2 linked regions of the Stegostoma tigrinum genome follow. The protein of the gene in region 1 interacts with the protein of each later gene in a biochemical or structural test. Links are inferred from orthologs where the notes say so. Each region holds a gene or a part of one and is shown in the gene's direction. Other genes may lie near its edges.

Region 1 (11,410 bases):
CCCACTGCATCACAAAACCAGCCCAGCTCGTCCCTGCCTCCCTAACCTGTTCTTCCTCTCACCTCAAGCTGCACCTCCATTTCCCACCTACCAACCTTATCCCGCCTCCTCGACCTGTCCGTCCTCCCCGGACAGACCTATCCCCTCCCCACCTATACTCTCCTCTATCCATCTTCGGTCCGCCTCCCCCTCTCTCCCTATTTATTTCAGAACCCTCTCCCCATCTCCCGCTCTGATGAAGGGTCTAGGCCCGAAAGGGTCAGCTTTTGTGCTCCTGAGATGCTGCTTGGCCTGCTGTGTTCATCCAGCTACATACTTTGATATCTTATATCCATTTTATCAGGTTTGGCCACTTTTTTTCCCCAACTGGTGGTAACATTTTATGCCTCCTAGCCACTGTGCATGTAAAAGATCTTCTGACATTATTTTAAGAAAAACAGGGAAGATATCCCTCTTCAACATTGCATTCAATTATTTTAAATCATTGTCTCCAATGTATTTATTGTTTTCTCTAGAACTTGTTTAGAAATTAGGAGTTTCCCATTTAAACCACAGATGAAAACTGAAAGAACTGTGGAAGTTGTAAACCAGGAACAAAAACAGAAGTTGCTGGGAAAGCTCAGCAGGTCTGGCAGCATCTGTGAAGGAAAAAAAAAAATCAGTTAACATTTCAGGTCCGGTGACCCTTCCTCAGAACATTTAAGCCACAGATGAAATCATCTTTCATTACCTCTCTCAGAGGGTCACAAGACTTTAGAACTCTTTTTCTAAAAAAGTTCATGGAAGCAAAGTCCATGAATATTTTTAAGGCTCAGGCAGATAGATTCTAGTTAAGCCAAAGGGTTGAAAGGTTATTGGGGTAAGTTGGAATACAGATTTAAAGTTATAGATCAACCATTTGATCAGCAGACAGGTTTGAAGTGCTAAATGGCCTACTTCTGCTTTCTGTTAGTATGTTCACTTTGCAGTCATACGCATGCTGTTCAGTCAGTACACTTTATCTGGTCACATCTTTAGTTTCTTAATCTCTCTAGGTTGGATATACATTTATTTGGGGGATATGGATATCACTAGCAGAGAAGCGTCTGTTACTCATCTCTGACTGCCTTGCAAAAGTGATAGTAAATTGCCTCAGAGTTGTAGAAAAAGTTCAAAGTGGAAACACACCCTACAGTCCAACTTGTCTATGCCGACTAGATATCCTAAATTAATCTAGTCCCATTTGCCAGCATTTGGCCCATAATCCTCTTCCTATTCATGTACTCTTTTAAATGTCAATTGTACCGGCCTTCGCCACTTCCTCTGGCAACTCATTTCACACGTGCCCCACCTCCTGCATGTAAAGGTTGCCCCTTAGGTCCCTTTTGAATCTTTCCACTCTCACATTAAACCGAAGCCCTCCAGTTTTGGATTCCCCTACCTTGGGGAAAAGACCTTGACTATTCACCCTATCACTGCGCCTCATGATTTTATAAACCTCTATCAGGTCACCCCTTAGCCTCTGGCACTCTGGGGAAAATAGCCCCAGCCTATTTAGCCTTTCCTCATAGCTTAAACCATCTAACTCTGGCAACATGCTTGTAAATCTTCTCTGAACCCTTTCAATTTTCGCAACATCCTGCTATGGCAGAGAGGTCAGAACTGAATGCAGTATTCCAAAAGTGGCCTAACCAATGTCCTGAACAGCCGCAAAATGACCCAACTCCTATACTCAATGCATTGATCAATAAAGGCAAGCATACCAATCACCTTCTTCGCTACCTTGTCTACTTGCAACTCCAATTTCAAAGAACCGTGAAGCTGCACTCCAAAGTCTCTTTGTTCAGTAACATTCCCCAGGACCTTGCCATTAAGTGTATAAGTCCTGCCATGATTTGCCCTATTAAAATGTAGCACCTCACATTCATCTAGATTAAACTGTCTACCACTCCTCAGCCCATCTGATCAGGATCCTGTTGTACTCTGAAGTAATCATCTTCGCTGTTCACTACACCACCAATTTTGCAGATGATACCAAACTTACTAACCATCCCTCCTTTGTTCACATCCAAATCATTTACATCAATGATTAAAAAGCAGTGGACTCAGAACTGATCTTTGCAGCACACTGCTGGTCACATGCCTTCAGTCTGAAAAGCAACACTCCACCACTACTGAAAGAACCGTGGATGCTGTAAATCAGGAACAAAACAAAGTTGCTGCAAAAACTCAGCAGGTCTGGCAGCATCTGTGAAGGAAAAAACATAGTTAATATTTCACGTCCAGGAGGAATGGTTACCAGACCCGAAATGTTAACTCAGTTTTTTTTCCTTCGCAGATGCTGCCAGACCTGCTGAGCTTTTCCAGCAACTTTGTTTTTGTTCATCCATCACTACTCTGTCTCCCAGCTTTCTGCCAATTTTCTATCCAATTCTGTAGCCTTCTTGAACTGCTGTAGTCCTTGGGTGTACTTACCATCCATTTCTTTTTTCCATGACACCTTTTGCCATTTAATTTTTCTTGTCCTCCTCAAGACCTTTCACTTGCTCAAAATTTATTATTTTTTCTATCTTTCCTCAAGTTTTGTTGAAAGAACATGAGCCTGATCGTTAAATGTTTTTCTCTCCATGGATGCTGTCTAACCTGCTGAATAGTTTAACCATTTTCTGTTTGTATTTAGAAGTTGAGTCTTTTGTTTGTATCTTTAAGATAGCTTTAAGCATATGTTCAACATTCACCTGTTTTGCAGATGTTTGCAGCATGAATACATGAAAGCCTACAGGACAGAGTTCATATAATAAAATGAAAATCTCAGGGCATACAACCAGATATTCAAATTTTGCGTTGGAATGCCCATTATTCTGAAATCAATGAATAATATTGGTTTTCAAAGCCAGGAGATGGGGTTTAGGAGAACATAAAGCTCAAATGCATGCACAGTACCCAAAAGACAAAGTAAAGTTTTACTTCTCCCATGCCACTGCAAATAGATTTGAATTACTTTGCATTCAATTTTTGAGAGTGCTCTGCATCTGTCCTTAATCATGGTAAAAACTGACTTACATATTGGGATCTCAAAATTAGATCCCCTTTGATTGTACATTCAAGCTTAATTCAGAGCTTGAGCTGGTGATGTGATTCCAGTGCAGTAGTATACAGGAGTAGGAAGAGCAGGAATTCCATTGTGCAGAGAGAAAAATAATTGAACAGGAGAGAGGTAAGATGTAGTGCAAAGGGTTATTTCTAACACTAACTATTGAACATATACAGAGGAAGCTACTTATTGATAATGTTATGATCACATAAGCTTCTGAAGAAGGAGCAACAACCCAGGTTGCGTGCTTTGCTAGAATGTATGTATTTAACATAATGTAAATAAAGAACTACTTTGAAAAAGTTGGTCTCTAGCTATATCCTTTGCACTGAGTAGTGCACTGTAAAACCTTCCAAGACACCGCCCAAAAACAAAACATGCTAAAGGAAAGTGTTGTTTGCAGACAAATTAGATAGATTCTATCACCTGTCCAGGTGATTTAAGTGGATACGAAAGCACATAAATGAAAGAATAAGTAAGTTCTTCAGGTGTCCTGTACAAAATCCTCCTGTGAGTGATGTGACCAAAAACAAGATAACTGGTTATTCATCTCATTTGCTCTGTGTGGGACTTTGCTAAGTCAATACTTTGAAATCGGATTCATACATTTAAACTGATTTGGGCATTTCCGAAAGATATGACAAATGGCTACAGACGTCCTAATTCTCCTGGGAAAGGGGGATGGGAAACCTCAAAAGTAAGCCAGGAGATCAACAGACCAGAGGACAAGGAAAGGAACAGAAGAGTAAAAAGCCCAGACAGGGGTGAATGGGAGACCAAGATCACAAAGGTGAAGCTGGAAACTAGAAGTTTGAAAGCAGGGCTCACTAAAGCCAAGATCAGAAAGAAATGGGAAATAGGGGGACCATGCCAAAAAAGGCAAGTGTATTCTCAAAATAAGCTAGTGAAATCCACTACAATACCTCGTATGTAGGGTAATTTATTTTTAACACCTGAATGATGACCTATGTTTCTCACGGTACATATTTGCCTTTCATTTTGGAAATTTGCAGTGCAGCACTGGTGTTTATGTTTAGTGCAGTAATGGTAATGCCACTGGGCTGGTAATCATCACTCAGGTTAATCCTCTGAGGTTCAAAACCGACCATGGCAGCTGATGAAATTTTAATTCAGTGAATAAATCTGGATTATAAAGCCAGTTTGAGTATTGGTAACCATGACAATTTGTTATAAAAACCCATCTCGTTCACAATTGTCCATTTGGGAATTAAATCTGCTACCTTTAACTGGAATGGCCTACATTTGACTCCAGACATACAGACAAGTAATTGACTCTTAACTGCCCTCTGAAACGGCCGAGCAAGCCACAGTTCAACAGTAATTAGAGATGGGCAGCAATTGCTGGCCTTGCCAGAAACACCCACAATAGAAGAAAAAAAAACAGGAGGGTTACCTCAAAATTGATAATAAAGACTTGCAATTCTATAGCACATTCATGACCTCAGGATGAATTAAAATGCTTTATGGCCACTAAGTACTTTTTGAAGTTTAGTCACTATTGTAATGTAGAGAAAGCAACAGTTAATTTGCACACAGCAAGCTCCCACAAATAGCAATGTAATAACGATCTGATATCTAAACTTATGTACTTGCATCCTGGAATGAGACTGAAATTCATAACCTTCTGTCTTGGGAGATAAGGGTACTATCAACTGACCTACAGCTGATACAAGATTTTTCTTTATTACGAAACTAGCTGACAGGAGATATTTAGGTTGTTTACCAAAACCTCCTCTTCCCATTCCATGTGCCTACCATTGTTTAAATGTCTCTATGCTTAAAGATACTGATGACATTGGTTATGCTGTTAATTTAAGAGGTTTGTTTGAGTGAAGTAAATGCAGAGGAGTAGTACCTTTCATTTCTACATACAGAGCAAATGGATATCCGCACTTTGAGGTGGAGATAGTGAAGGGAAGATGGGCATTAATAAAGGGTAGTGGGAGTGAATAAAGAGCAGGGGAGAGAGATAATGAAGGGGATAACGGTGGTAGTACTTGGATGGCAATGAATAAGTGATAAATGTGGAGAGAGGTAGGATGGTAACAACTAAGAAGGGGAGGGGTTGGGTTGAGCAATAAATAAGAAGGAAATGTTGAATGTGGGGAAGAAATAGGCTTTTTGAGAGTCCTGTGTATGAATAGATGTAGCTTTTAGCAAAACAAAATAAAACCCTGCAGATATTGTGCCTTTTTCAACAAACCAAAAAGGTTGGGGGGAGGGAACAACATTTCTCTAGGGGAATTCTCCATGTAAACACCTCAGTCAGCGTCTACTTGCCAAACAATCAGTATCCTTTTTCCATGCATAGAGTCATTGAGTCATACAGCACAGAAATGGACCCCTCAGTCCAACCAGTCCATGCGAAATGTAATCCCAAACTAAACTGGCCCCACCTGCCTGGTCCTGGTCCATATCCCTCCAAACATTTCCTATTCATGTACTTATCCAAATGTCTATTAAATGTTGTTATTATACCAACAACCACCATTTCCTCAGGAAATTCATTCAACACGTGAACTACCCTCTTTGTAAAATAAAAAATTGCCCCTCATGGCTTTTTAAAATCTCTCTCCTCCCATCTTAAAAACGTGCCCTCTAGTTTTGAAATACCCCATCCCAGGTAAAAGAAAATTGCAATTAACTCTAATCTATACCCCCCCCCCCCCATGTAGTATAAATTGTTGCTCCGTTTGAAATTTGATATTCTTGTAATTGTCATGATGACTGCAGGACAAAACATTTCAACAGCGTAACAAAGTGTGGAGCTGGATAAACACAGCAAGCCAAGCAGCATCTGCAGTTCCCATTATCTCTAATTTCAACAGCATGTTTCCTTTTGCAGTAATAAAGTTGTTACCCTGGTCCCAAAGGACGTAGGGCTGCTCGCTCATTAAACAGAGACGACCAGCGGTAGTTTAACCTGAGGGTCACCTCGCCTCAGGCAAGGGGTGAGCTCAAGAAGATGGGACCTTCATAGTGACCTCATGCAGTACTTGAATTCAATTCACATGTTGGTATCGCAATCCAGCCAGCCAAGTAAGCTACTCGACTCCCCACAGAGCAAAGTCGCCATAGTCCCAAAGACCACAGTACTGCTTTCTCAAGAGAGAGATGATCGGTGATGGCTTACCCTGTGAGTCACCTTGCAAGGGGAAGAGGTTGAGAAGGACAGACCTTCATGGTAACCTCAGCTAGTATGACAACTGAACCCATCCTGCTGGTGTTACAATCATACTCAGATTCTGTTCCGCCAAGTGACTATATAAATCTGAGTTGTTGTAACCAGAATTTTCAACTGTAAAATGTGAACTTAAAATTTTCCATGAGGGTATGAACCCTAGGAGTTCCCTCCTTAAAGGACTCATAACCAGATCTGTGTTTTTAATGTTTGTGTTCCTCCTTTGAGGCTTGCTGGTACTTGTTTCATTTTCCAAGTCATTAAAAGGTAAAGCTATGAAACAAAATCGTTGAAAGCACTGAGGAGGTTACACAGCATCAGAGTACAGATAAGTGCAGTTAAGCTTCAGGTCAATGATCACTTATCATAATGAGAACAAGATAAGAGGTTTAACAGTTTAGAAGCGAGTACAAAGCCGGATAAAAAGGAGGGTTACGCAAGGAGAGAGACAAGAAGCTGAGTTGTGGAACTGAGCTGAAAACATGGCAGCAAAACATAATGGGGAGCGTTAATAGATTATTAAGAAGCAAAATATGGGTCTAGAGGACGTGCTTAACAATGCTGGGTAGAGACATCAACTTTGTATGGCGAAGTATCTGTAATAGAACGGATATTCTTGAATTGTGGGCTTTTATGGAAATTCTATCATTGTTTTTCAAGCTGTTGGTCATCTTTTCCCAAAATTTCCATCCCATCCAATGTTTTCATCACTGCTATTTTTTACTTTTCGTAGAGGGTGTTCTGTTCACTATTTTTCAAGCTTCGAGGTTGGCCTTTTCTCTCCCAAATTTTGTGTCAGTGCTAATTCCATGTCTTGTGGGCTTGAGATTTTCTGGAAGATATTTTCTCCTAGTTTTCTCTGCTGGCCTTCATGGGAAAGCAACAAAATCGTAAATACCTTGGAAGTGGACCACGCTGTCTCCATGTTATTGTGTTCATTGGTCTTTGAAGGGGCGGATCTGCAGCTGAAAATAAAGCTGGTGTTTGGTTTGTAACTGCCCAGTTCGGAGGCGGTTTATGATGACTGTTGCTATGGTTACCGGGCTTGTTTTGAAGGTGATATTTCCCGGTTGGTAACATTTAACGTTCCCTTTCGTCTCAAACGGTTGCTGTTTATCTTCAACAATGTTGAAAAGATAAATCGGAGGTTTTAAACCTTCAAAATGTCGGTGCGACGACTCCTGGCCCGCGGCCTGGACCTCAGCCGCTCGGCCTTGCGCCTCGTCAATCCCGCAGCTCGAGCTCGGGCTCAGGCGGGCGCGGCCTTTGTGCAACCCTGGGCCCAGCAGCCGCTCCAAGCCGTCCTACCCGCCCGCTACCGCTATTTCCGCCTGTCTTTGGGCGGCCTAGCGGCTCAGCTACAGCGCCGGGCGTCTTGGCAGCTCCGCGGGCCGGGCGGTGCTTTGCTGGCCTTCGGCCTGGGCCTGGGCTTCATCGAACAGCAGGTGGAGGAGGTGAGGACGAGCATCGCTGCCTGCGAGGAGATCCAGGTAAATAAACGTCGGTCCGGGCATCGTTTGAACAAATAGATTAATGCTCCTTGCGATATGCTGCTTTTCCGTCTTGCTGTTGTCTAACAGCCGCCTGACTTTTCGCCGGATAATAAAATGTGGAGGCAGAGACAGGCTGGACTGATGAAGGGTCTAGGCCCGAAACGTCAGCTTTTGTGCTCCTGAGATGCTGCTTGGCCTGCCGTGTTCATCCAGCCTCACATTTTATTATCTTGGAATTCTCCAGCATCTGCAGTTCCCGTTATCTCTGACTTTTCGCCGGCTTCGCTGTAGGTGATAGTGGTGTTGGAAGCTAATTTTCTCAACGTCAATTTTAGGCGAAAGCCCCAAGTTGAATGCTCTCCTTTCTTACCTAAACTTTTATTATGATCTCTGACATGCACCTGATGTAGTTTACCTGATTAAGCTCTCTGTCAGTTTGGACGTCACCAAATTTTGACGGTCAACTTCCATTTAAACTTTGATATGATGGTCTAGGCTCTTTTGGTCCATTTTATTAAATAGATGCTGTGCAATCATATCCCAATAACTACCCAGCAAATTTTTTTAAAATGTCAGAAGAACAAGGAGCAGGGATAGGCAATTCAATCCCTTGACCCTGCTCCACCGTTTGATAGGAACACGGCTGATCTCTTCTTGGTCTCAACTCTACTCTCCTCTGTCCTCTCCATAACCATTTAGCCAATTTACTGTCTATCTCCTGCTTAAATTTACTCAATGTCCCAGCATCCAGCGCATACTGAAATAGTGAATTCCACAGATTCACAACCCTTTGAAAGAAGTAATTTTCCCCTCCTCTCTCTTTAAATCTGCTACCTCTTATCCTCAACCTCTCATCCTAGCCGTGCATAAGACATAAAATTGCCTACAGACTTTGTATGAGCTTTAGCAATAAAAAATGTGTGATTTAGAAATGGACAACACAATATCCTACAGAGAATTTGAGTACTGAAGAACACGAGAAGAAATAGAAAGATTGACACTTTCAAAGTTTGAACCAGGAAGTGTAAGTTTTAATATTGAATTCACTGAGCAATTATGTTCAGAAAGCAAAAGAAAGATGAGATTAAGGAGTGGAGATATGGCAAATAAAAATGTTTAAAAATTTTTTAAAAATCAGTAAAATGTTTCCTAAATTTAATTTTCAAATATGATCTGTCACTATTTAACACTGCCAATTGTAAACATGAACCAATAGGTTAACAGAGGACACACCTTTTGGAGAATTAGAAAACTGAGACAAAATAAGACTTAGTTGAGCAACAAAATGCCCAAATAGCAAAATTTCTGCTACATCAGTGAGCGTTGTTTTGACTTGCTTGATATAATTCGTTTTCTACCACAAGGAAGCTCGTACTAATAACATCTTGGGATATGGGGATAGTATTGGAAAATGGTTTTTGGGTGGATGATCAGTCATAATCTAGAATGGGAGCACAGATTTGAGGGACTCTATGTTCCTAAACATTCAACATTATTATGAAACGTAGGAGTTTACCACAATGTCAGTCTTTCTTTCTTCATAGTCTGACAATGAAGCCGTAGCTTCATAATTTCCTAAGCAAGCCCTGGAGAATTGCACTGTTCGCTAGTGGTGAAGAATTTGGTGGAGTCATATTAATGGCGGATCTCTTCTTGGCAGAGCTTTGTTTTTGTTTTAAAATCAATTCTACTCAAAACTGAATGGAGGTTTGGTTCATTCTTTATAACTACATTTGAAAAAGTTCCAATTTGCATAAATGTGCACTTATTTGCATATATTTGGTTAGTTAATGAGAATAATTGTTGAATTATTTCCATTTGCCAGACATTGTTTAAAAGGAAGAAAATCAAGTATGAAAACTCCATGCCTTCACACACGAGTGGATATCGATTTGAAGATTACAAGATTGGATACAACATTGGAAAGGGGTGTAATGCAGCTGTGTACAAGGCCTTTATCCCTGAAGTACCCAAAACAAAAGCAAGTGACAAGATCACGACAAAGGAGAAAGATGAAGTAGTTAACAGGCAGGTGAAGAGTGAAGGTCAGTGTGTCTCTGGTGAGGATTCTGGAGAAAGAAAGAAGGTAGCGATTACACAGGAAAACTCAAGTTTGAGTTTTGTGATTTTGAAAAAAGAAATGTTAACAGACTCGCTGAGGGCTTGTGAAGGAGACACCAGCAACCCCTTGAGAGTTTCTTGTGGAGGCAGCAGTTACCTCCTGAGGGCCTTCGAGGAAGACACCAACTACCCCCTGAAGGTACCTGAAGGAGAAACCAGCTATCCACTTGCTCTAAAAATGCTTTGGAACATAAATGTAAGTCAAACATTGAAATGCACAATTTGTTGTTTGAGCCAAGTGGAAGATAACCATATGCTGGTGATGTGGCACGAGACTTGCAATTGGAATTTCTTTTGCTTCCAATAATTTGTCTGCAGTGCTTTCAATTTAAAATACTTCTGTCTTTTATTGTAAAAAGGTGCATTCTTTAAATTTACATTTTTTTCCTGTAAAACACAATTGCTTGTCAATGTAATTAATAGCCTTAATAATAAGTGTGTAACATCAGGACGAAATCAAAGCAAAACTAAGAATCGAAATATTTGCCATGGATGAGTGAAGTCCCTACATAGGCCCGAAATAATTGCACATAAGAAAACAAGTGACCATCAGAACTAACCATATCTGATGTGCAGCCTGTGGAGGATTTAAAGTTTGGCAGTGCTATAGTGGTAACACTTCCTAAAATCATTATGGAGTGGATCATTGAGGGGTAAGTGACTGTAGATGGTTGTGAAGATGTATTTAATTGTATTTCTCTCATGTTTAAGCCTCTCCATGCCTTAAAGCATGAAAACCTTTGCAATTTCTTTTGCATCAAAGTGATGCTCAACAGGAGAGGAGTACTGGAGATAAGTTTAGAAATTAGCTTCTTGAATTCATTTGAGTTTTGATCCAGAGGCTCTCTAGCCTAGAAAGCTAGTATTGGCTGTCTTCTGAGCTACCACCATTAAACTGTCAGGTCTAGATTTGAGACATTTCTGTACTACTTGTTGATGTGATTCAGTCACATCAATCAGTTAACATGCTACACGGTTGACCAACACCTTCCACCCCAACCTCAAGTTCACCTGGGCCATCTCCAACACATCCCTCACCTTCCTGGACCTCTCAGTCTCCATCTCCGGCAACCAGCTAGTAACTGATGTCTATTTCAAGCCCACCGACTCCCACAGCTACCTAGAATACACCTCCTCCCACCCACCCTCCTGCAAAAATTCCATCCCCTATTCCCAATTCCTCCGCCTCCGCCGCATCTGCTCCCAGGATGAGGTATTCCACTCCCGCACATCCCAGATGTCCACATTGTTCAAGGACCGCAACTTTCCTCCCCGCAGTGGTCGAGAATGCCCTTGACCGCATATCCCGCATTTCCCGCAACACATCCCTCGCACCCCGCCCCCGCCACAACCGCCCAAAGAGGATCCCCCTTGTTCTCACACACCACCCCACCAACCTCCAGATACAACGCATCATCCTCCGACACTTCCGCCATCCACAATCCGACCTCACTACCCAAGACATTTTTCCATCCCCACCCTTCTCTGCCTTCCAGAGAGACCACTCTCTCCGTGACTCCC
Region 2 (10,915 bases), on another chromosome or scaffold:
ATGCCAGTGCTTCCACAGGATTTAATCTCAACATATCTCAGTCGCTTGACCTCCTATAATCCAGAGACCAAAGTGTTATTGATGTTATTAATTTGAATTCAAAATTAACATTTATTTATTGTCTATTTATTCCTTCATTGAGGAAGTGACAAAGTTGATAGATGAGGGAAGAGCTGAAGATGTCATATATATATGGACTTCAGTAAAGCGTTTGATAAGGTTCCCCATGGTCGGTTTATAGAGAAAGTGAAGTCGCTTGGGGTCAAGATAGATGGATAGAGAACTGGCTGGGCAACAGGAGACAGAGAGTTGTAGTGGAAGGGAGTTTCTCAAAATGGAAACTGTGACCAGTGGTGTTCCACAGGGATCCGTATTGGGACCACTGTCATTTGTGCTATAGATAAATGATCTGGAGAAAGGAATAGATGGTCTGATTAGCAAGATTGGTGGCGTAGCAGATCATTTATCTATAGCACAAATGACAGTGGTCCCAATACGGATCCCTGTGGAACACCACTGGTCACAGTTTCCATTTTGAGAAACTCCCTTCCACTACAACTCTCTGTCTCCTGTTGCCCAGCCAGTTCTCTATCCATCTATCTTGACCCCAAGCGACTTCACTTTCTCTATAAACCGACCATGGGGAACCTTATCAAACGCTTTACTGAAGTCCATATATATATGACATCTTCAGCTCTTCCCTCATCTATCAACTTTGTCACTTCCTCAATGAAGGAATAAATAGACAATAAATAAATGTTAATTTTGAATTCAAATTAATAACATCAATAACACTTTGGTCTCTGGATTATAGGAGGTCAAGCGACTGAGATATGTTGAGATTAAATCCTGTGGAAGCACTGGCATGCTGTCCTATGTGGCAATTGCTCAAGAATTGTTAACTTCCATCATTCACCCACTCCACAGTACCTTCCACTGTTGTCTCTGACACTGACTCAGATCCTCCGACACTTCCGCCATTTACAATCCGACCCCACCACCCGAGACATTTTTCCATCCCCACCCCTGTCTGCTTTCCGGAGAGACCACTCTCTCCGTGACTCCCTTGTTCGCTCCACACTGCCCTCCAACCCCACCACACCCGGCACCTTCCCCTGCAACCGCAGGAAATGCTACACTTGCCCCCACACCTCCTCCCTCACCCCTATCCCAGGCCCCAAGATGACATTCCACATTAAGCAGAGGTTCACCTGCACATCTGCCAATGTGGTATACTGCATCCACTGTACCCGGTGCGGCTTCCTCTACATTGGGGAAACCAAGCGGAGGCTTGGGGACCGCTTTGCAGAACACCTCCGCTCAGTTCGCAACAAACAACTGCACCTCCCAGTCGCAAACCATTTCCACTCCCCCTCCCATTCTCTAGATGACATGTCCATCATGGGCCTCCTGCACTGCCACAATGATGCCACCTGAAGGTTGCAGGAACAGCAACTCATATTCCGCCTGGGAACCCTGCAGCCGTATGGTATCAATGTGGACTTCACCAGTTTCAAAATCTCCCCTCCCCCCACTGCACCACACAACCAGCCCAGCTCTTCCCCCCCACCCACTGCATCCCAAAACCAGTCCAACCTGTCTCTGCCTCCCTAACCGGTTCTTCCTCTCACCCATCCCTTCCTCCCACCCCAAGCCGCACCCCCAGCTACCTACTAACCTCATCCCACCTCCTTGACTTGTCCGTCTTCCCTGGACTGACCTATCCCCTCCCTACCTCCCCACCTATACTCTCTCCACCTATCTTCTTTACTCTCCATCTTTGGTCCGCCTCCCCCTCTCTCCCTATTTATTCCAGTTCCCTCTCCCCAACCCCCTCTCTGATGAAGGGTCTAGGCCCGAAACGTCAGCTTTTGTGCTCCTGAGATGCTGCTTGGCCTGCTGTGTTCATCCAGCCTCACATTTTATTATCTTATGACCCCAGCTGATGTGATTACTGAACAAATTAGATTCCAGACTGAAATTTGGCTTGCTAGGACATATTTTATTTTTGAATTAAACAAGGTGGTCTTTCACAGAAATGTAAACACCCAATGCTGCAGATTTGTTTTTTGCAATAAAACAGAAGTTTATTATGTAAAATAAATGAAGGTAAATAGATAAATAAAAGCATTTACACATAACACAAGTTTAAAGATATTGAAACACATGGTTAAATATAATCCCAGTAATCCCTACAACACTCTTTACAGGACACACACCAGAGAGAGATGTGGAGGTGGCGGAACACAGCAGGCCAGGCAGCATCAGAGAAGCAGGAAAGCTGACGTTTTGGGTCTGGACCTTCTTCAGAAATGGGGGAGAGGAAAGGGCTCTGAAATAAATAGACTGGGGGGTGCGGTGATAGAAGCTGGATAGTGGAGTGGACAGGTGGGAGAGAAGACGGAGAGGTCAAGGAGGCGAGGATGAAGCTAGTAAAGGTGAGTGTAGGTAGGAAGTGGGGATGAGGGTTGGTCAGTGAGGAGGAAGAAGCAGATAACTGGGAAAGAAGACGGACAGATCGGGGAGGCGGGGATGGGGGCAGGCTGGTTTTGGGATGAGGTCGGGGGTGGGGAGATTTTGACGCTAGTAAAGTCCGCATTGAGACCATTGGGTTGTAGGCTTCCAAGGCAGAATATGAGGTGCTGTTCCTTCAGTTTCTGGGTGGCATTGTTGTGACACTGGAGGAGGCTCAGGATGGACATATTGCCATGGAGTGGGAGGGGAAGTTGAAGTGGTTCGCAACGGGGAGGTGTTGTCATTTGTTGCAAACCGAGCATAGGTGCTCCACAGCGCGGTCTCTGAGACTCCGCTTGGTCTCCCCAATGTAGAGAAGGCCACCTCGGGAACAGCGGATAAAATAGACCGCATTAGTGGATGTGCAGGTGAACATCTGTTTAATGTGGAAGGTTGTTTTGGGGCATAGGATGAGGGTGAGGTTCAGGGGCAGGAGTAGCACTTCCTGCGGTTGCAGGGAAAGGTGCCAGGTTGGTGGGGCTAGTGGGGAATGTGGAGTGGATGCGGGAGTCGTGAGGAGAGCGGTCCCTCCAGAAGGCAGATAAGGGTGGGGAGGGAAATATATTCTTTGTAGTGGGGTCAGATTGCAGGTGACGGAAGTGGCAGAGAATGATGTATTGAATCTTGATGGTTAATGGGGTGATGCATGAGGACAAGGGGAATTCTGTCTTTGTTTTTGTTGCAGGGAGGGGATGTGAGGGCTGAGGTCTGGGCAATGTGAGAGGTGCAGTGGAGGGCATTTTCGACCACCCCTTGGGGGGGTGGGAGGAATTGTGGTCATTGAAAAACAAGGATAGCTGGGATGTCCAAAACATCAGCTTTCCTGCTCCTCTGATGCTGCCTGGCCTGCTGTGTTTCTCCAGCTCCATTCCTTGTTATCTCAGACTCCTACATTGGCAGTTCGTACTATCTCACCAGGGAGAGAATTTCTTCCTCTAAAACACAATCACACATAGATTTGATTTAACAGATGCTTCTATTCCTGGTCTTGAGCATCTGATAGCCTCTTCCCTGAGATTTCATATAACTGAATGTAAACTTTCTCAGCTTCGAATACCCCTTCATGTTTTAAACAAAAACTTCTTGTCTTGGACTTTAAAACTCTCCTCTTTACACAGAGGTAATTTATTTCATGACGGAACTGAAGTATCTTTTTTCCAAGTAATGGTTTCACACATTCAGCTTCAGCCAATGCTTTGTAAAAGCTACCCAACTGAAATTCAAAGGTTTTTTTTTTAACAGACTATGGGTGCTTCCTCATTCAAAAGGAAAAATATCAATTTCTGACTTTTTAAACTGAAAGCCCAATACACAACTGTTTTACTTTGTTCACTTGTAAAAACTCTCCCAATAACGAATAATTTCAACTACTCTCCAAGAATTATCTTTCTCAGGTTATGCTTTAAAAGAAACAACAGTTACTACAGAGTTAATCATGAAAAAGTTCTGAAGAAGAATCATATCAGATTTGAAACACTAACTCTGTTTCTCTCTCCACAGATAGTGCCAGACCTTTCTCCAATATATTCTGTTTTTATTTCAGGTTTCCAGCATCTGTGGTATTTTGCTTTTGTATTAATCCTTAAAATCCTGAGGCATATAAATCAGAACCCACATACTATAAATTCAACTTTATTTAAATAAATATATATCACACACCTTACACTTGGAGTTTTGAAGAAAGATAGGTGACTTATTGAAACATTCATCATGCTTGGGGAATTGACAGGATAGATGCAGAAACGTTGCTTCCACTTGTGGGAGAGTCTAGGACCACAGGGCATTATTTCAGAATAAAGGGTCATCCATTTAAGACAGAGATGAGGAGGAATTTCTCCTCTTAAAGCGTAGTGAATCTGTGGAATTATTCGCTGAATTGGGCTGTAAAGGCTAAATTATTAAATATATTCAAGACTAGAGAATCAGGAGTTATCAGAAAAAAGCAGGAAGGTGATGATTTGAATGGCAGAGCAGACCCAGTGGGCTGACTGACTTACCTTGATTCCTAAGCCTTGCGATCTTATCACACTGGGAAAACTAATGGAACTAAAGGCTAACAAGGCATGTTATAATCTTTTAAAGTTCCCTAGATTCTGGAAGGTCCTATGGAATAGAGAATGTAACACTTGTGTTCAAGAAAGGAGGGAGAGCAGAAGTACAAAACTTTAAACTAATTCAGCTAAACATCTATCATTGAAAAAATGCTAGAATCCATTGTTAATAAGGTGCAGAATATTTAGAAAATCATAATACAATCAGGCAGTGTTAACGTAGCTTTACAAAAGGGAAATGGTTTGATAAATTTATTAGAGTTCTTAAAGAAGAGTATGCAGGCTGGATAAAAGAAATCAATAAATGTAGTTGACTTGGATTTTGAAAAAGACATTTACTTAGGTGCAATTTAAATGGTTAGAGTTTTAGCCAAGGGCTTATGGTGTTTGGGGCAGCATGCTCACACTTTTTTTCTTCTGTGCTGACTTCTGAAGTCCATGTGCGACAGGAACTTCTGGAACCAGAAATCAATGCCGTGAAATGTGTTGGCATTCCAATTGCTGTGCACAGACTCTCAAAGGATATTTCTGATTTGTTTCTGATTTCCAGTTTCCACCGTTTTCATTTTCTTTTTGTTGGGATTCATTGATAATTTTCAATTTAGCAAACAAGTGAAATGTCTAGGGATCAGTGTTAGGGCTTCAATTATTTATGACCTAAACCTGTGACTTGGGTAAGGGACTAACTGTACCATTGCCAAATTTGCTTATGATATCATGAATGTAGGCAGGAGAAAAAATTGTGAGGAGCTTACAGAGTTTGCAATTGGATAAGTTAGTAGGTTGAGTCAGAAGACTGTTTTCTGTCAGAAGGTCATTCGTCTTTGTAAATCTCTTCCGCAAACAGCAGCGTAGGCTGAAAGAAAGACAAAATTTGCTGGAGAAACTCAGCGGGTCCAGCAGCATCTGCGGAGAGAAAAGAGAGTTAATGTTTCGAGTCTAGTGACCCTTCTTCAGAAAAGCGGAGCCTGAATCGTTAAATGTATGCAAGGCACAAATCATGCACAATATGCTTTAAAAATGTGAGTGGTGAGAAGTGATCGACATTAGAGCAGCAAACCTCCAAAACTTTCCCGTCTGTACATTGACTACAGCTCCATCCTCACAGTGAGGGTTGTGAGCATGCGCTGGATTGGTGACTATCGGGAGCAGGCGCAGTCCATGGTGCTTATAGTCCCTCCCCCGGCCCGCAGGCAGTGGGATGGGGTGGGGCTAACGCTGCTGTCAGTTTGCGGGGTGGGCTGTAATAATCACCATAGTGACCGGCAGCAGACTGCGGCTGGTACATCCATCCCAGCGGAGTCGGAGCCTGAGCGTAGGCCTGGGTGGAGCGGAGTAGACCAGACCGCTGCCTTACCCTCCCTGTAATCTGTAAGTATCGTCTGGAGCTCGGTCAGGTGCAGAACTAGGCCACAGGAACAGCCTGTCGCATCCAGTCTGTTAATGTTGCTTCCTTTCTGCCCCCGCGGTTCAGGGCTGTCAGGTTGTGCGGGGAATGCAGTTTGTGAACGTAAGGGGGTTTTGTGCGTGAGCTGTATGGAACTTAAGAAACGAAAGTGAAATTGTTCATAATCCGTTCCAAGAAATCAGCATGTAGCTAGGTTTTTGTTGTGCAGTGTCATCGACATTGGTAAGCTATTTGACCGTGTAACTTGCGCTAAAATAGACAACATGTATGCTTTCCACCTCAGCGCACTTACTTTAATATTTTAGTGTCTTCTTTTTTTATCAATGTTTGCACTTAATCGTAATCTGAATTTCAATTGCACTTGGAAGTTTTGACTTTGGAAGAACGTATGTTTGTTTTTTTTGCTGAAGCAAGATAAGAGCAGAAGCTTCTTGTACTCATCAGGAAAGATGCAAGAATGCCAACTTTCAGAAATCATAAGTTTATACTGAGAGAACAAGGTTGATTGGCTGAAGCAGTGATGTACAATGCTGTAACAATTTCTCAATGGTGCTTGTGAGAAAATTGGTTATCATAGTACATTCAAAAATAGAGATTATGGTTGTATAACAGTTTATGGGATGATCAGTAACAGCAAATTAAGTACTTTTTGCATGACACTTTTTGGTGTAGGAAGCATGGCAGGCAATTTTCAAATGGCAAGGCCCTGCTATTGACAACATGTGATAATAGCTATATCTTATTTTGTGATTGAAATAGTTGGAACTGCTGATGCTGGAGAATCTGGGATGACAAGGTGTAGAGCTGGATAAACACAGCCAGCCAAGTAGCATCAGAGGAGCAGGAAAGCTGATCATGAAATGTTAGCTTTCCTGCTGCTCTGATGCTGCTTGACCTGCTGTGTTCATCCAGCTCTACACCTTGTTATCTCTTATTTTGTGATGTTGCTCGAGGGATAGATATTGGTCAGTCAATTGTGGATAATTTAATTACTCTTCAAAATAGAACATTGGGCTCTTTCACATTCAGCTTTGAGGGTATTCAGGGCTTGATTTAAGATCTGCCAAGTTACGGAACCTTTGACAATGCAGCTCTTCCTTGGATTTTTGGGACCAGAAATTCCCTGATTATAAGCATGCGAACAACTAAACCATGACTGAGACACCACGATAAAGGGCAGAGGATTTTGTAATCTTCAAGGAAACTTGAAGGAATGAAAGTCTTGCATGCATGTATTACTTTCTTTTATGTTGTCTTCAGAACAGAATACATTTGACCAAAAAAAGGTGTGTGCTAAATCGAAGACCAAAAATCTAAAAGCATGAAATTGCAGGATTTTGCTAATTTTATTACTTATGTCCAAGTTGACACAGATTTTGGTGGTAAATTTGATGGTGGTGATAAGTTTAATGATCTTGCTGCTATTTTCTTTGGTCGAAGAAGTCTTTGGGCTGGGAAGATGATGTTGAAGTAAGCTTGGTGAGTTTCTGCAGTGTCCAACAGGCAATAGTATATACTGTTGCCACTAAGTGCCAAGGGAGAGGACTGTTGATTGGCAAGCAGATGGCCTGTTAGATTTCCTGGATGGTTGTTAAGCCTATCCTAGCATGTTGTCAGCGTGAAATTGGGCAGTTAATTTGAACCTCATATGAAGTGAAGAGGCTTTGAGGAGTAATTTGGTGTGATATTTGTCAGAACATAGTATGCCATTACCATTCAAATGTAGCCATGTTGTTACAATGGTTGGTTCTGTTAACTGTCTGTTTCGTGATAATCCCAAGTGATGTTCAATGGCAGTTCAGGAATAGTAGTACTACTGAAGATAAGAAGTGGTTGAAGGTGATGGGCAGTGTCTGACATGTGTCAACTCCAGTCTAGATGTTTGTCCTCATTCTGTGAGACCAGAACTGATTGATTTGTTTGAGTAAATGTAAATGATTTGAACATTGGTAGAATCATTCATAAATGGTCCTATTCCTGATCTTAAGGAGTTGATAATTTTGCATCAGATGAAGATGCTTGGTTTGAGTAATTGTACTTAGAAACTCCAGCAGTGAGGTCCCGAGCAATTAATTTGCCTTAAACTATAATCATCTATATTTGTTAAGTGTGATTCAAGCCTTTGGACGATGTTCTTTATGACTTGTAAGCTTTTAAAAATGCATCTTCCTGTGTTTTCTCAAGTGATAGTGAACATTTTAAAGCACAGTTAGGAAAAATGTTTTAAAATTCAAAGCTTCTACAGGAAGAAGAACATGGAATATCTCCTGGATCACCTTTGGCAAATTTTGAGGCTGTTAATTCCTCAAAGCAAATGTACTGACTTTTTGTAGTTTGGATCACTTGTAAAAATTGTTAATATTTAGCTCCTTTTTGAAGTAAGATTAGCAACGGTAACTGCTGATGAAAGCAATGAAACAGTATCCTAATAAAAGAATGTCTTTAAGCTGTTACAATGACTGCCTATATATCTGTTCATATAGGGAAATGAAGAGCCAAAAGCACTTTCAAAGGAGGCAGGGAGTTCTCTTGTTGATCTAGCTAGTTAAACAATCTGATCAGCTGGTCACTTTCCTTGTTGTTGATTGTGGGACCTAGGTGCATACTTTACTTCAGAAAAGAACTAGGGTGTCTTTAGGATACAATTCAAACTTTTCACGAGATGTTAGAATGAAAGAAGTAAAATAACATGGTTTCTTTTAATTTGTTACAGACTATAATTTTTCTACGAAGTGTGACTGAATGCTTAAGGCATAAATTGTTCGCACTTTCTAATGACTCTGATCTTAATTAACATATTAAGAATTATATATTCTCTATTATGGCATGTTCCAGCCTGTTTAGAACTCCCCTTTTGGCTGAAAGGTAAAAGAAAGGAAACTAACTGTCTGTTCTTTGTTCTTTTCCTCCTTTCACGCTTAGAGTCCTTCCATTTAGTACTTTTTCATGATGACATTGGTGTTTGGATGTGTATGTTATCAAAGCTATCTCATATTGTCAAAAAACCTACGTTTCAGTTAAATATGATGCAGTTTTTTTTAAGAACGATACTGTAATTTTAATCTCCCTCTTATGTCTAGTGCCCCTTGCACCTGCAGAAATTCCAACAGCAGTTGACAGCTTCATGTTGAATCAGCTGCAATGAAGCTGCGTGTGCGAGTTCAAAGACAGAGAGGTTGGGTGGAATTGGAGCAGGATGAGCCCACTCTTGCTGACCTGCGCAGTAAGATTGCTAACTGTCTTTTACCATCTATGGGATACAGGCAAGTGAAGCAGAATCACATTGCTGTTTCTATGATTAAATATATTAAGTCTGCTGTTAATATGGTTTGATATGGAATATGTCTTGATTTTCATGTGGCCAAATGGATTATTTTACCAATTGAGAAGCTTTTATGATGCTCAACTAACAAATTATTGACTTTGATAATTTTAGAACATTGAGGTTTAGTGGAAATCATAACTGATACCTTGTAATTCCTATCGAAAATTATAAGTATGTGCAGCCTATGAGAATGTTTAGACTGTTGCTCAAGTGGGATGTGAATTTCTATTGTTACTATGGTGTTAAGTTTTTTTTCCCTGCCGGTGGGTGTCAAGGTAGCAAGTAATGCTATGAGAATTTGTTGCAGGACCTGACAACACCTTGCTAATTTCATTTATCTATTTATGTTGGATCACTCAAAATTGTAATTTAAGAGCTTCAGTGACTTAGATGTGAATTCATTATAAATAAATAGTTGCAGCATTTGCAGCACAAGAACAGGCTATTTATTGAAAAAAAATCAGTGCTTTTTCTTTCCAGCTTTAAAAAGAAGATTCTATTTAATTACCATTTGTTTGAAGAAATAACGCAAAGTTTAGACAAGGGAATAAAGTTTAATGTTTTAGTGAAGATCTGTAGCTCGGGTTGTGGCTGGAGTTATTCGGTGGTTCGCTGAGCTGACTTGGTTTCACCTCCTTCCAGGTGACATCTTCACTGTTGTCTAGCCTTCGTTGAAATGCTGTTGTTCTCTTCTGCTCTGAATTTATATGGTCTGGTCTGTCATGGTGGGTAGCCCTGTTTTTTTTTGTACCCTAGTGGTATGTAAATAGGGTGTGTTTCAACATGTTTGTTTATTGCACTGGTGGTTGAAAACCAGGTCTCCAAAAATTCTTGTGCTTGTCATAGTCTTGCTTGTCCTTGCACTGTAACTTTGTCCCTGTTCAACTGATGTCCTTCTGTGCAGAGTGTATTGAAATGAGGGAGAGTTGGTCGTGCTGTTTCGCATGAGTTGGTGTTCACATTTCCTGGTCTGTCCTATGTCGTTTTTCACTCAGCTGCTGCTTGGTAACGTGTGTGTGTGTGTGTGTGTGTGTGTGTGTGTGTATATATTTGTGTACTACTGACGATTGTAAAGGATCCCATACCCAAAATGAGCAAAACTAGGGTAATATACAAAATACCAATCAAGCATTGTGAGAAACACTACAGAGGCTAAATCGGAAGAAAATTGACAATACAGATACATAGCCACCAAGAGACATGACCAGTTCTCACTTGCCTCACTACACAGACAATGAGGGACATGAATTTGACTGGGATAAGTCAAATAGAGTTACGCCAGTGAATTCCTGGAGACCTGGTATTCTAACCGGAACTCCATAACAAACACATTAAATTAGACCCTGCGTACAAACCACTGAGAAACAAAACCGGAAGTAATACCAACCACCCCAGTGAATACAGATTATATAAATGATAAGCAGGACAGAACACCATAGCTTCACTGGAGGTGCACTGACGATATTACCCAGCAGGGTAACAAAAAAGTCTGCAACCAAACCCCTCAGCTCAATGAGCAAGTCTACAACCCGAGCTATAAATCCTCTCAAATTTTATAGAAGGATATCAGTTTAACTGGGACAAGAAAACCAAAGACGAGCACGAGAATTTCTGGAG

The links. The genes of interacting proteins can lie anywhere in the genome.
Region 2: the proteins of pink1 (region 1) and fbxo7 form a complex in vitro, tested with the Homo sapiens proteins (2 studies listed by BioGRID, with this or other methods). The link is inferred for Stegostoma tigrinum from reciprocal best matches to the Homo sapiens genes PINK1 and FBXO7.

The regions. Positions count from the first base shown.
Region 1 is NC_081381.1:30,927,827-30,939,236, forward strand, and holds the start of pink1 (serine/threonine-protein kinase PINK1, mitochondrial), read left to right. Parts: upstream 1-7,101; 5' UTR 7,102-7,438; coding exon 7,439-7,765; exon of another isoform or gene 7,766-7,992; intron 7,993-9,342; exon of another isoform or gene 9,343-9,469; coding exon of another isoform or gene 9,470-9,475; intron 9,476-9,593; coding exon 9,594-10,085; intron 10,086-11,410. UniProt on the Homo sapiens protein: Serine/threonine-protein kinase which acts as a sensor of mitochondrial damage and protects against mitochondrial dysfunction during cellular stress.
Region 2 is NC_081371.1:25,457,943-25,468,857, reverse strand, and holds the start of fbxo7 (F-box only protein 7), read left to right. Parts: upstream 1-5,745; 5' UTR 5,746-5,936; intron 5,937-6,087; exon of another isoform or gene 6,088-6,195; intron 6,196-9,053; 5' UTR 9,054-9,114; coding exon 9,115-9,236; intron 9,237-10,915. UniProt on the Homo sapiens protein: Substrate recognition component of a SCF (SKP1-CUL1-F-box protein) E3 ubiquitin-protein ligase complex which mediates the ubiquitination and subsequent proteasomal degradation of target proteins and plays a role in several biological processes such as cell cycle, cell proliferation, or maintenance of chromosome stability.